2 linked regions of the Kluyveromyces lactis genome follow. The protein of the gene in region 1 interacts with the protein of each later gene in a pairwise test. Links are inferred from orthologs where the notes say so. Each region holds a gene or a part of one and is shown in the gene's direction. Other genes may lie near its edges.

Region 1 (6,021 bases):
TTCCTATCAGCAGACACGCACAGTAGAGTTATCACCTTCATCCGTCAAGTGTCCGCATATTCCACCATCTAGAACTTGATGTTTGAATTGAATTATGGAGCCGTTCCTACGTCCCGGACAGATTGCTTAGCTAGAGTTCTCGATTGTGGAGATGATAACCGTGGATCGATAAGTGCCATTTGTGAGCCGGACTTGACAATTGACGGGAATTCAAGCCTAGCAAGCAGTGAGAATTATACCAATTGTAAAATCTGTGGAGGGTTTGCGAATTTTTTATGTTCAAGAGATTCACGAGCTGGGTGGTTTTGTTCTTTTTGTAATGCTTATAATGAACTAGGGAATATTCCATTATCATCGTCATACCTAAAACATTTAGGAACTGCTGCTGTGCCTACGCATTCCAAGTTCGCCATAATCATCGATCTTAATTGTGAATTTGAGGAAAATCTAGACGCGTTGAAGATGTTACAATTTGGTTCTGTCCAGTCATTGGCCCTGATCACGATTGAAGATGGGTCTGTCACTATTCATACTGACGGGTCACACATTACCGTAGATGCAGAATCTAGTAGTTGTATCAGCCATCTTAAGAAGCTTGACACAGAATGGTTCATTGCAAAGTATGGGCTTTTAGTGAGGAAGATTTGGACGGACCAAATATCTTTCGGTGCTAAACTCGCGGAACTTCTATGTCAACGGACTAGGTCAAAAAAAAGATGTAGAAGAAACACTGCACTCGCTATTTTTCTAGCACAATGTCTAAACCCATCACAATCCATTGCATTTGTTTTCGGACCCTGTACAGTAGCACCAGGTAAGGTTATCTCAATGGACCGAAAAAATCATATCAGGCAGCATAGAAATATAGAGGAAGACAAGGATGTGAAATATTGGAAACCTTCTAGAGAATTTTACAATAAAATGAGTAAGTCCTTAAAGTTTGCTCCATGCACGGTATTCGTCGCATCCATGGATCAGGTCGGAATATGGGAGATGAGATCCTGTTTGAACAACTTTATTCAATACGAATCCTTCAATGATAGAAATTTCATATATGATTGGCAGGCGTATATTCAAGGGAAAGGATGTTATGAAATAACCAGAATTGTTATCAAAACTTCTAACAAGCTATTACTGAATGGGATCTTTGGTCCAGTCTCATCCTTGAAAGACAAGGACACACATGTATCTGACACTCCAAAGGGCTTTGGAGGGTCTGGAACCTTCCGTTACAAAGGGCCAAGTAGTAATCTACCATCAATTTTGATAAGTTTATCTGTTGATACATCTCGCAGCGCTGCTGAAGCCTTGCAAGAAATGCCAGATAAATTTTCCTTTCAAATGGAATGCTACTATAAACACTTGAATCAAGAATACGTTTCTGTAGAAACGAAATTTATTCCCAGTACAACCTTACCAGGTGAACATCTTTTAACCCAAAATTTCCACTGGGATATAATGGCTGGATCCATAATGAAAAAAATATCTTTCGCTGTCTTGTTTCAAGGCAAGTTTTATGATTACGATCTAAGGTGGTGGACGTTAGAAATAGTAAAACTTCTTAAATCATTGAATGCCATCGATGTTCCTGGCATTAAATCCTTACAAGAAGTAACGTACTTTATGCAAAGATCAACTCTCTTAAGGAAGAGAAATACATCGCCTGACGAGTGGATCGTCTACCATTGGACAATTCTGAATTCCCCTTTAAGTCATATATTCAAGATGGTTAGACCCCAAGTGTATTCGACCACAGGGCTTATTCAAAATACAACTGACATCCTTAATTATGCCGAACCTTTATTGGTAGATGGTGGTAACGTCCTTGTGGTACGAGATACTTCAGTAGGAGATAGCAGAGTTGACAGTTTGAAGGCAGCTGCTGATACCATATACCACGATGGAAGTCGATTTCCAAAGCCTTGGTATCGAGAAACCAAGCCAGGTGCTAGTCAGGATAGATTTGTAATTGCACGACTAGGCTTAACTGCAGAACATTCTTTGCATTCTGATGACCTCACGCTTGATAAATACATGGCACTGTTTAAATCAAAAAGTACTGCATGAAAAGTATGTAATCATTCATTTTACCTCTCAACAGATATCATGAACTCTATATATATATAACCAAAACCAAAAGGTTAGAATAGTTCCCCATTTACTGTCGCAACCTTCGAATCTATCGCTCCCCCTTTGAATAACAATTGTATGGCAGGAAAAGATACTATGTACGTATTCCTTGGTTTCTCCATCTGTCGCTTTTCAAAAATGACATATTTCATTTTTTAAAAGATACTATATAATTAAATCTAACCATTCTTTCCGAATAGCACATTAAAAGCCAGAGTCCAGAGGAAAAGAAAGAGAAACTGCAAGCGCGAGCCATTGGGTCGTTTCATTAGGGAAAGAAAGATGAACTCCACTTCCAACCGGACTCAGGTATTTTATATACCTGTTGGCCTAACTCAAGTTCAGAAAGATTTGTTGGAAATTTTAATCTCGATACATGCAGAGTCGTTTGTCTCATGTGTAGATAAACGTCTACTGCCAGAACTACAATCTAAATTAGAAAAAAAAGGGACAAATCTCAAAAGAGACTTGAGTATGACTGCATTAACAGATGTTCAGTTAACTGAATGGTTCTTCGAAAATATAAGAGCTGTCTCGAATCACCCTTGCCTGTTAGTTGAGCATTATATGCCTAGACAGTTTTTGTTAATGGAACCAACTGAAAGGTTGATATACACCAGCGATAAATTTGGCAAGTTAAATCTAATGGTTGATCTTTTATTGAATCGTAAGGACAAATCGAGGCCATTGCAAGTTGCTATCATTTCACATTCTGTGAAAGAATTGGATTTGATTGAAGGCGTCATGTTGGGAAAAGTTGCAAAGTTGAAGAGGTTATCTGGAACTTCTTTGTTTGACGAAAAACATGAATATGACGATCAAACTTCTGGTTCAAGAACAACCAATGGTGAAAATTCATCAAGTTCTGGTAGCGTAGCTCCTGAGCAAATCGGAAAATCGAAAGATGAATACAACTACTCTAAGTCAAGACGTAAGAATAACATATCTCAACTTGACTGGTTGTTTTTGGCAACAACCACACATTTGACACACTCTGAAGATTTACTTTCTAGGTACAATCTGGATCTTATCATCAGTTTTGATCCAATGCTGGACGAATCGTTACCATCGATATTCAAAGTCAGGAAAAATGGCAGAAAAACTCCTCTGTTTAAGCTATTGGTCCAAGATTCTCCGGATCACTATTTGTTATCCAAAAAGAAGCCAACTACTACTTCCGAAAAGCTAATTTTGGATTCCATTGTTCATTTTCTAAAGTATCGTGCCGATATCAAAGATCTTATTTCTTTACAACAATATGAAAATATTATTGACTCATTGATCAAAGAGACGGACCCTGGTGAATTTCTCCCAAGTGTAAATCCAGGAAGTTCGAGAAATAATGATGATTTGATTCCTTTTCTAACTAACCCAATGGAATTGATGCCTCTAACTTACGGAAAATATGAATTAAGGCTACAATCAGGACCAATGGACATTAAAAATTATCAGTATATTTTAAAAACACTCACGGCAGAACGACTCAAACAATGCCATGTAGAATATGAAGAGCGTGAAAAACTAGTCCTCAAGACCAGATTGAAAGAAACTAAAAGGTTAAATGACTTTGATGATTTGAAGGTGAATATCGGACAACATTTCAAAAAACTCAAAGAAAATGAAACCAAAATCAACGACTCTGAAAAACGCGTTGAAAGAACAAGATCTGAGTTGGAAGTTTTAGAAGAACGTCTAAAGAGCTTGGTTGAACGCAAATCCGAGCTTGTAAGGCTCTTAACTCTCGAAGATATTGCAAAAGAAATTGAAAATCAGAAGCAACAACATACCAAGCTATCAGATGAAGTTTCTTCCTTCAAGAAGAGTAACGATGAAGAGTCCTTTAAGAATGACGATTTGAGATCTAGCTACCAACAAAAATCGTCTGAGGCTGCTTCAGAAGTGCTAAAGACTTCAGCTCTGAAAGCTGAGAAAGAGGAGTTGGAACGCCAATTGAATGGACCTTTCACCAAGTGGGAACTTATTATATTGCAAGAAAAAGAAGCACAACTCAAATCTTCCTTACGCAAAATGGTACAGCAGTCTCAATTCCTAATACAATACATGAACCGAATACAAGGCCAATACAACATTGAAAACGAACCTGCAAAAAAATCATCTCCGGCAACGAACAACTCGTCAAGGTACACTACAAGAACTACCAGGGCTACTTCTCCTACGTACACATAAGTATTACTCCTTCTAGGATACATCCAGACCAAACCATCTCTCAACTACTGCATGCAATATACTGATATCTGAAAGCCTGTCAGATTCTGGTAAACACAAGCTTGCTTGCAAAATTGTAACACTAGCGCAATTACTCCTCTATATAGACCAGTTTGTATTATGTGAGTCAATAGTGACTTGTTCATTCTAATTTCGACATGACCACCCTAACTGCGGCAGTAACGGATCGGCATAACCATATTCAGTTGAAACTGGAACATAGAATTTGAGCTTTTTTTTTCGTACTTTTCGGATTTTAAAGACCTTTACTGATTCGTCTGGTATTTTGCATATAGGGTAGAAAATAAGAACTTTTAGTAGATTTTATGTCTTGCTCTCAAATTGAAAGCAGAAACTAAGGGTATACAGTTCTTTTTTTTTTCTTACCATTGCGTTGTATTGAGCTGACTCCCACAAAATAATAACACTTTAATCTTGGCTACTGTTAAACTCTGAACTTGATTTTGATACAAGTTTTCTGATAATGGGAAAGATGAGTTTCATTGAAGGATTGCAGAAGCGCTTTTTTTTAGGATATTCATACAAATACAACACGTTCGAACTTGATCCTATTATACTGGCAACTTCTATCAAGGTGGCAGTTTTAGATTATTTTCGGAATACGCCTTGGTATTGGATCATCAGAGACGCCGTCTTTTACCATCTGCTTTTTAACGTTTTGTCCCGGATTATTTTGTACATAAGGGGGTATGGGCTTCTGACATCAATTTCTAAATTATTCCATTATGCCAGTAGACGTTTATTTGAGGTTCTATTGAGCTTACCAATGGTAAGAGGTTCTGTCGATAAAGAGGTTTCTAAAGTCTTAGCCACAATAGAGAAAGATATGATAAAAAACGATGCGAATTTAAAGGATTTCCCTGAACTACCAAGAACAGGATTAAGTGAAGCTGATGTATTGAAAGAACTAGATAAACTCAATTCTGTTTTGAAGCATTCTGATTGGGAAAATGGTAAAGTATCTGGTGCAGTGTATCATGGTGGGGATGATTTGATTGATTTACAATCCAAAGCGTTTAAAAAGTTTTGTGTGGCGAACCAGTTGCATCCAGATGTCTTTCCTGGTGTGCGTAAAATGGAAGCAGAGGTAGTGTCCATGGTTTTGAACTTATTTAATGCTCCACCGACTGGTTGTGGTACTACAACAAGTGGTGGTACGGAGTCGTTGTTATTGGCTTGTGTAAGCGCAAAAATGCTTGGATTGCGCTACAAGGGAATTACCGAACCCGAAATAATCATCCCGAAGACAGCACATGCAGGTTTTGACAAAGCGGGATATTACTTTGGCATAAAGATCCATCATGTTGATTTGGATCCTGTGACATTCCAAGCTGATGTTAAGCAGATGAGAAAACTTATCAATAGAAATACTGTTATGTTGGCTGGCTCTGCTCCAAACTTCCCTCACGGGATCATTGACGATATCGTTTCGATCGGTAAACTTGGTGAAACTTACAAAATTCCTGTTCATGTTGACTGTTGTTTGGGATCATTCATTGTTGCGTTCATGTCCAAGGCCGGATTTAACGATGTACCATTGTTTGACTTCAGAGTTCCCGGTGTCACCTCTATTTCATGTGATACACACAAATATGGCTTTGCACCAAAAGGCTCTAGCGTTATCATGTACCGCAACCCTGAATT
Region 2 (6,074 bases), on another chromosome or scaffold:
AAATTTACTTAAAGGTGAGTTGTTTATAATATCACGTGATTTCAATTTTTGTTAGTGTGAAACATCCAGTTGGCACAATTTGCGAGAGCAACTTACTCAGTTCGTGAAGGTGGAGGGTACCTTCGGTCAATACCATGTTACTTGTTATTATTCTTTGTCATTTTAGACATATATCTGCAGAAAATGGGACTCTTATTATTAACCTGAAAAACTGAAAAGAGATCATCATCAATGGTGATTCACAGTGAAATTATAGTAACTACTTAGAAGATAAGAGGCCCCGTCTTTGAAATTACAAGCTTTGTAGGTATGAGCCTAGTATCGTCTGTATACTTGAGTGATAGTGAAGGCAGTGATATTGAAATTGACGGGGAACCTATCCAGAATAAGGAAGAAGAGGACAGAAGCTCATTGCTACCAAACTTACCAGACCAAATCATTCACAAGTTTAATAAACCACCAGTTCTGAACCCATTGAACGATAGAATGTACAAAGCTCCGATGGGTAGAAATACTTGCTATATGTTTCTTCAGCTGCGGCTTGATTCCAAACAGAACCGGGTGCTTGATATGATTTTGAACGACGTAAACTCAGTAATGAACATGCATCATATGACTAACTTTGAACCCTTACATCGTGGAAAGCTAGGTACCATTAAGCCCTTACATGTGTCTTTGACGTCTTCGTTGTATTTCACCGATGGAGCGGAGACAGCAACGAGTGTTGCTCAAATCAAGAAAGAAATCACCACTTTGAAATATAAATCGATTCCAATTTCTCTGGCAGGTAACTGGCGTCTCTACGATAATTTTGACTCAAGTCTCACGTTCTTGACGTTGAATTTATCCAAATCATCAGTGCGACAGTTACAACCTATTCTTGATGCGATAAAAAGAAACGTCCCGCCAACTTATCATTCAAAGGTGATAGACCCTGAGACAGCACACATTTCGTTCGGAGTTATTCCAAACAATAAACAATTTAAAAATGCGGAAGAATTTGAAAAGTCGAGCAAATATCTACGACATATTTTAGCTACGGAAGCGTTGGCACAGTTACCTCTATTGAGAGCAGACTTGCAATTTAGATGTCAGGAAATCAAGGCGGAGATTGGAGTAGACGTGATTTCGATGCCCTTCTCGAAATCCGCTGATAGGTTGTAAATATCAATTTATACTACTTTCAAGCGGTAGTCTTGTATCAGGCACATGCCTGACTTAGAAAATCATTCAGAATTGGTAAACTTGCTTGTCACTATCAGTCACATGACTTGATTAGATATGCGAATTTTCCTAATTAGTACGATTAGTTAAGCCATGTTAAAAATCGCATCAACCTTTTTTTTTCTTTGTTTTGATATGAACAGCTATGTTGATATTTGAACCCAATCGGGTAATAGCGCTTCAAAAACCTCGTTCGAACAAAGCATAATGCCCTTGAAGCTATGTTTGCATTGTCTATTTCTACATCTAAACATATAATTGTGTTTTCTTTAACTATGTACCTCTTTTATAAACTTTGCAGCAACTGTTGTTTGGTTCATATAACAAGAAACTCTTCCAGTTGAAGCTTTCATTACGTTTTCCCCATCTTCCCCATACATCTGTAACATCGATTGTTATTGGTTGCATCAGGTATTGGAAACACTCCGTTGATATTAGCAGTTTAATCATTTGCATAAGATATATTACAACTTAACAAGGAGAACAACTTTAGGTTAGGTGCAATCGATTTTTGAAGTGAGCCTCTAGAAGTAAGAAAGACTGGAAGCAACAAGGAACCGAAAAGATAATTCAATACTAAGATACATAGGTAAGAGCGCAAACACCAAGTTGACTTGAAGTTAAAAGAGCGGGATTAAAATAAGAAGTTTTTGATAGTACCAACAAAAATACATTCGAACCGTGTTTATTCAATCTGGACCAATGAGTAGCACAGAGCAATGGTCCAACTTGATTAAGAATCCATACGATGTCGTAGATGGAAACAATGGTGAAATATCAGAAAACATGATGGATTTGCTGAATTCAAGAAACAATTCCAATAATCTGGGTTCTGTCTATGGGGGACAGGATTATCCTCTTCCAGATGAGGCTTTTGAGAACTTCAACCCTGTTATGGATATAAATATTGAAGAATTTCTCACAAAAGAATTAAGAGATCTTGACATACCAGTACTTCCTAAGGATGAACTTTCAAAACTTGATCTAGAGATGTTCCCGGGAAACGGATTAGATTGGAATGTAGTAAACGATAATGATGCTTCTGTCGGTGTTGGAAATGTAAATACAGAAATACCATCAATCACTCCAAGAAAACTTATGCCAGGTGGTGGGGCCGCAGGAAATCACAAGAAAAAGCCAAGTGGTACTGCCATCTTTGGATTTGCCCAGCATAATAAATCATTAAGCATAGGGTCCATGACAATCAATCTAGATGAGAAGAAGCAGGCCTTCCTGCAACAGGAACAGCAAAAACTACTGCAAGCACAGCAGGCTTCCCAGCCTGCAGAAATAAAGATGAGCGAGACGATTATGCAACAGCAAAAAGAGTTACAGTTGGCTCTACAAAGACAAAAGGAGATGAATGAAAAGCTTGAAGATCAACTAAGAATGAATAAGCTACAACAAGAACAACTACAGAGAGCCCTGGAGGCTCAACAAATGACTTTAAATCAAGTTTCTTCTATCCCTACTACCACACCGGTAAGGCCGGAGACAAGTATAATTATTACTTCTAACGGTAAGAACGGTAAGTATCAATTTCCACCACCATCTTCCGACGATTCATCCCAACAAAGACAAATGGGAGAAAGGACAAAATTGGACGAATCGCCTAATAAAGATGTCAATAAAGTGTATGCAGTGGGAGCGGGGAATGGACTGTTATCGCCCTTTTCAAGGGCATCGGTCAACGGATCTCCACATAGACGTCGTCAACATAATTATGATGGGGTTGAGAACGGTAATAACCGTCTTGCTCCTCCTATGAACTTTTCTATATCAAGCACGAGTACTGTCGGAAACAACACGGAACAATTATTGAAGATGTCCAAGTATTTTCAAGAGTTGACGGACAATCAAAGTCGTGGTCCATCCAATTGTGCGGTGTATAACAAGAAAAGTTCAAATCGTCCACCAATCACGCCACAAGATCAAATATATGATAATCCAAAGACCCCATCAATGAATTGTAATTATAAACATACTACCCGAAGTGATGATGGATTAGAAACAGCAAGTAGTATTGACAGTAACATTAACAACAAAAACAGCCATCAGAACAAGCATTTCGCAAGAGATAGTACGATATCGACGGCATCTACGATCCCAATGCAAAGTGAGGATGACCATGAATCAGAACAAACCCAACAGCAACCCAGTCTGGGACTTGGAATAACGCTGAACAGCAGGGTCCAATTGAAGAAACCACCGCAATTGCAGATAATGCCAATGATTCCTGGATCTAGCGAAACGACTCCGTTGAAACAGAAGCAATCACCTGATAGGCAATTTTCAAATAAGCTGAACAGCGAGAACATGCCAGTAAAACACTCTTTCCAACATACTCCAACAAAGAAACTAATATTTGACAAAACTGTCACGACTTCTCTACGGCCTGACGATAGGAAAGGTCAAAATGCTAGAAACATTATTCTTGCATCACGTGATGGCGAAGAGGATATGAAATCTGGCCGTCTAACGAACATGAATAACGGAAACAACGACGAACCGGAGTGCGAGTTCGTACAAGCTCAAACCCCATCTCCAATTCTGCGATCTCAAGAGCGATTCGATTGTATTGCTGAATCACCGGTGCATTTCCCTTACAATCAACATAACCATGTCGATTTGGGACTAGGGCCCAATCATAACGGAATTGGCCTAAACACCAATTTGAACACCAGCCCCATGGTAAGTGGGGGAAGGAACGGTAAACGGTATGGCATGCTGCCTAGAGAACAGATTGACAAGTACATTCTCGAAATTGGACCTAAACAGTTCCAATGCAAGTTTAAAGATTGTCAAAAGAGGTTTAACAGACGGTACAACGCGAGAACTCATATCCAAACCCATCTTTGCGATAGGCCGTACAAGTGTGATTTCCCAGGATGTCAAAAGGCTTTTGTCAGAAACCATGATTTGCTACGACACAAGAAATCGCATTTAGAGAAAGGTTACTCGTGTGCAGGTTGTGGTAAGAAGTTCCATTCAGAAGATTCTCTTGTGAAACATCAAGAACGTAAAAGTCATGAGGGCAGACTGGATGAAGAAGATTTGTGCAACCAAGAACAAAATCATGACCTAGACTACTACGATCACTTGGATTCTTCGCCTATAAGACTTAATGGCGGCAATCAGATCAGGAAACCAGTTTCCCCGAAGAAAGTGCCGAATGTCATAAGAGAAAACATCCAAAGGGGACACACTACTGCTGCGCTTCGCGTACAAGAACAATTGACGTACAATCAAACTACAACTGGTGTGTAAAATTCGTCAGAATGAATTTTATCTTTAGCAGATACTAACTGGCTTGTCTTAATTTTATCCAACATTGCACACTTTCAAAATCACTAAGTACTCTTGAAATATGTTCTTTTATAACGTTTTTAATACTATTTTATTCAATGGAAACAGAAAAACCGTTAGTGATTTATCAACTATCTACCCCGCTCTCACTGAGAAACAGAGGGAAGAAGAAGAAGTTCCGATCTGACATCTCAGGTCCGATTTCTCCCCCACCCTCAGATCTGTAACCTTTGCAGTTGAAACTTTTTTCAGGCCTGTAACCATTTAAGTGAAAAAAAATATAGGCCACCTCGTGCATTGCAGTGTTTTCTGGCTACATCTTTTTCTTCCCTACACAAATCCGCATCACTCGAGAGGAAACAATTTTCTTTTTCGTTTCGCACGAAATGTATGCCGCTGCTCATCTGTCGCTGGTTACTAAAAGATAAGTTATTTCCGAAGGAATCAAATACAGTGGCATAACCAGAGAAATTGAATCCACCATTTTGCAGGTAACCTCTCTAGCTCTATAGACAATTTTAAATTCTTTACTAAGTGCAACTAAAAGCGCACTTAGTAACGAAAGAAAAGAAAAACGAAAGCTTTCTGTCGTTTTCCTGTCATGAGCAAACGTAATAGCTAGCCACATTACGAAAGGAGTAAGATCTACTGGACCCTGACATAGAAGACACCATAGAATGCGTGTGAATTCCGGCTCCTCATCTTGGTCCATGATGAATCAGTTACACACTTCTCCATACCTCCTGTCGCAAGTAGCAAAACCCTTTCCCCTTTGTGTCAAATTGATCTCACACGAATGCCCATACGTGAAGTGTGATGTATGGGTGTAGAGTGCCAATCTCCAATTTTTTCACTATATACAGCTTGTTCGTACTTTAGGACTGGGCCTTTGCGAAACGTTGCACGGCTAGCAACGGGAACTTACGACCAAGTAAAAGAGAAGGAAGAACTCCTTCACGTGTTTTCGTCCCACCTTCCGTCCATCATTTGCACGAGAAAAGGTCCGATGGTCATATGACCTCTATTGCAAGGCCACTCATCTCCCAAAGACAACATATTAATGACTTGAATAACACTCTCATTCTTCCTTGTTGATCATAGTTCCTACGATCATCATCCTGGTGGGTATTTTCTCAGGTGTATATCTTTCTTTCTCTTCCTATTCATCTGCTTATTTGGTGATGTGCAACTGTGTGACGTACAAAACATCAAAAGATAATCCGTAACCCTTTAAGTTGATTCTCGAAATTGCCTCTGTAAGTTCGCCCACCACGGCATTTTCTAGGTTTTCCTAATTCTCCAAAAAAAAAAAAATTTTGAAGAAAAAGAAAACTACAACATCACAAGCAACTGAGAAAGTACGACTTTACGGTGCATGAGCTGGTGATATAGTACGAGCAGTAGCAGCTCTCTATCTTGCACCGCCCAAATTCACAATAGAGGTACCAGACACTAAGTAAAATATTAATTTTTTTTCCTTCTTCTTCAGTTTCGCTAGTTATGCACTGCAGTGACATGTAGCTTTTTTTCAAAGAGAAATTCAT

Evidence for each region.
Region 2: the proteins of HDA2 (region 1) and KLLA0_D16456g interact in a two-hybrid assay, tested with the Saccharomyces cerevisiae proteins (2 studies listed by BioGRID). The link is inferred for Kluyveromyces lactis from reciprocal best matches to the Saccharomyces cerevisiae genes HDA2 and ACE2.

What each region holds. Positions count from the first base shown.
Region 1 is NC_006039.1:894,944-900,964, forward strand, and holds HDA2 (Hda2p), read left to right. Parts: upstream 1-2,412; coding exon 2,413-4,317; downstream 4,318-6,021. Other genes in the region: GTPase-activating protein NEL1, read left to right, coding at 79-2,067; sphinganine-1-phosphate aldolase DPL1, read left to right, coding at 4,841-6,021. UniProt on the Saccharomyces cerevisiae protein: Required for activity of HDA1 histone deacetylase complex. The HDA1 histone deacetylase complex is responsible for the deacetylation of lysine residues on the N-terminal part of the core histones (H2A, H2B, H3 and H4).
Region 2 is NC_006040.1:1,386,263-1,392,336, reverse strand, and holds KLLA0_D16456g (uncharacterized protein), read left to right. Parts: upstream 1-1,926; coding exon 1,927-4,491; downstream 4,492-6,074. Other genes in the region: USB1 (phosphoric diester hydrolase), read left to right, coding at 310-1,164. UniProt on the Saccharomyces cerevisiae protein: Plays a role in regulating basal-level expression of CUP1. Activates EGT2 transcription in the absence of SWI5.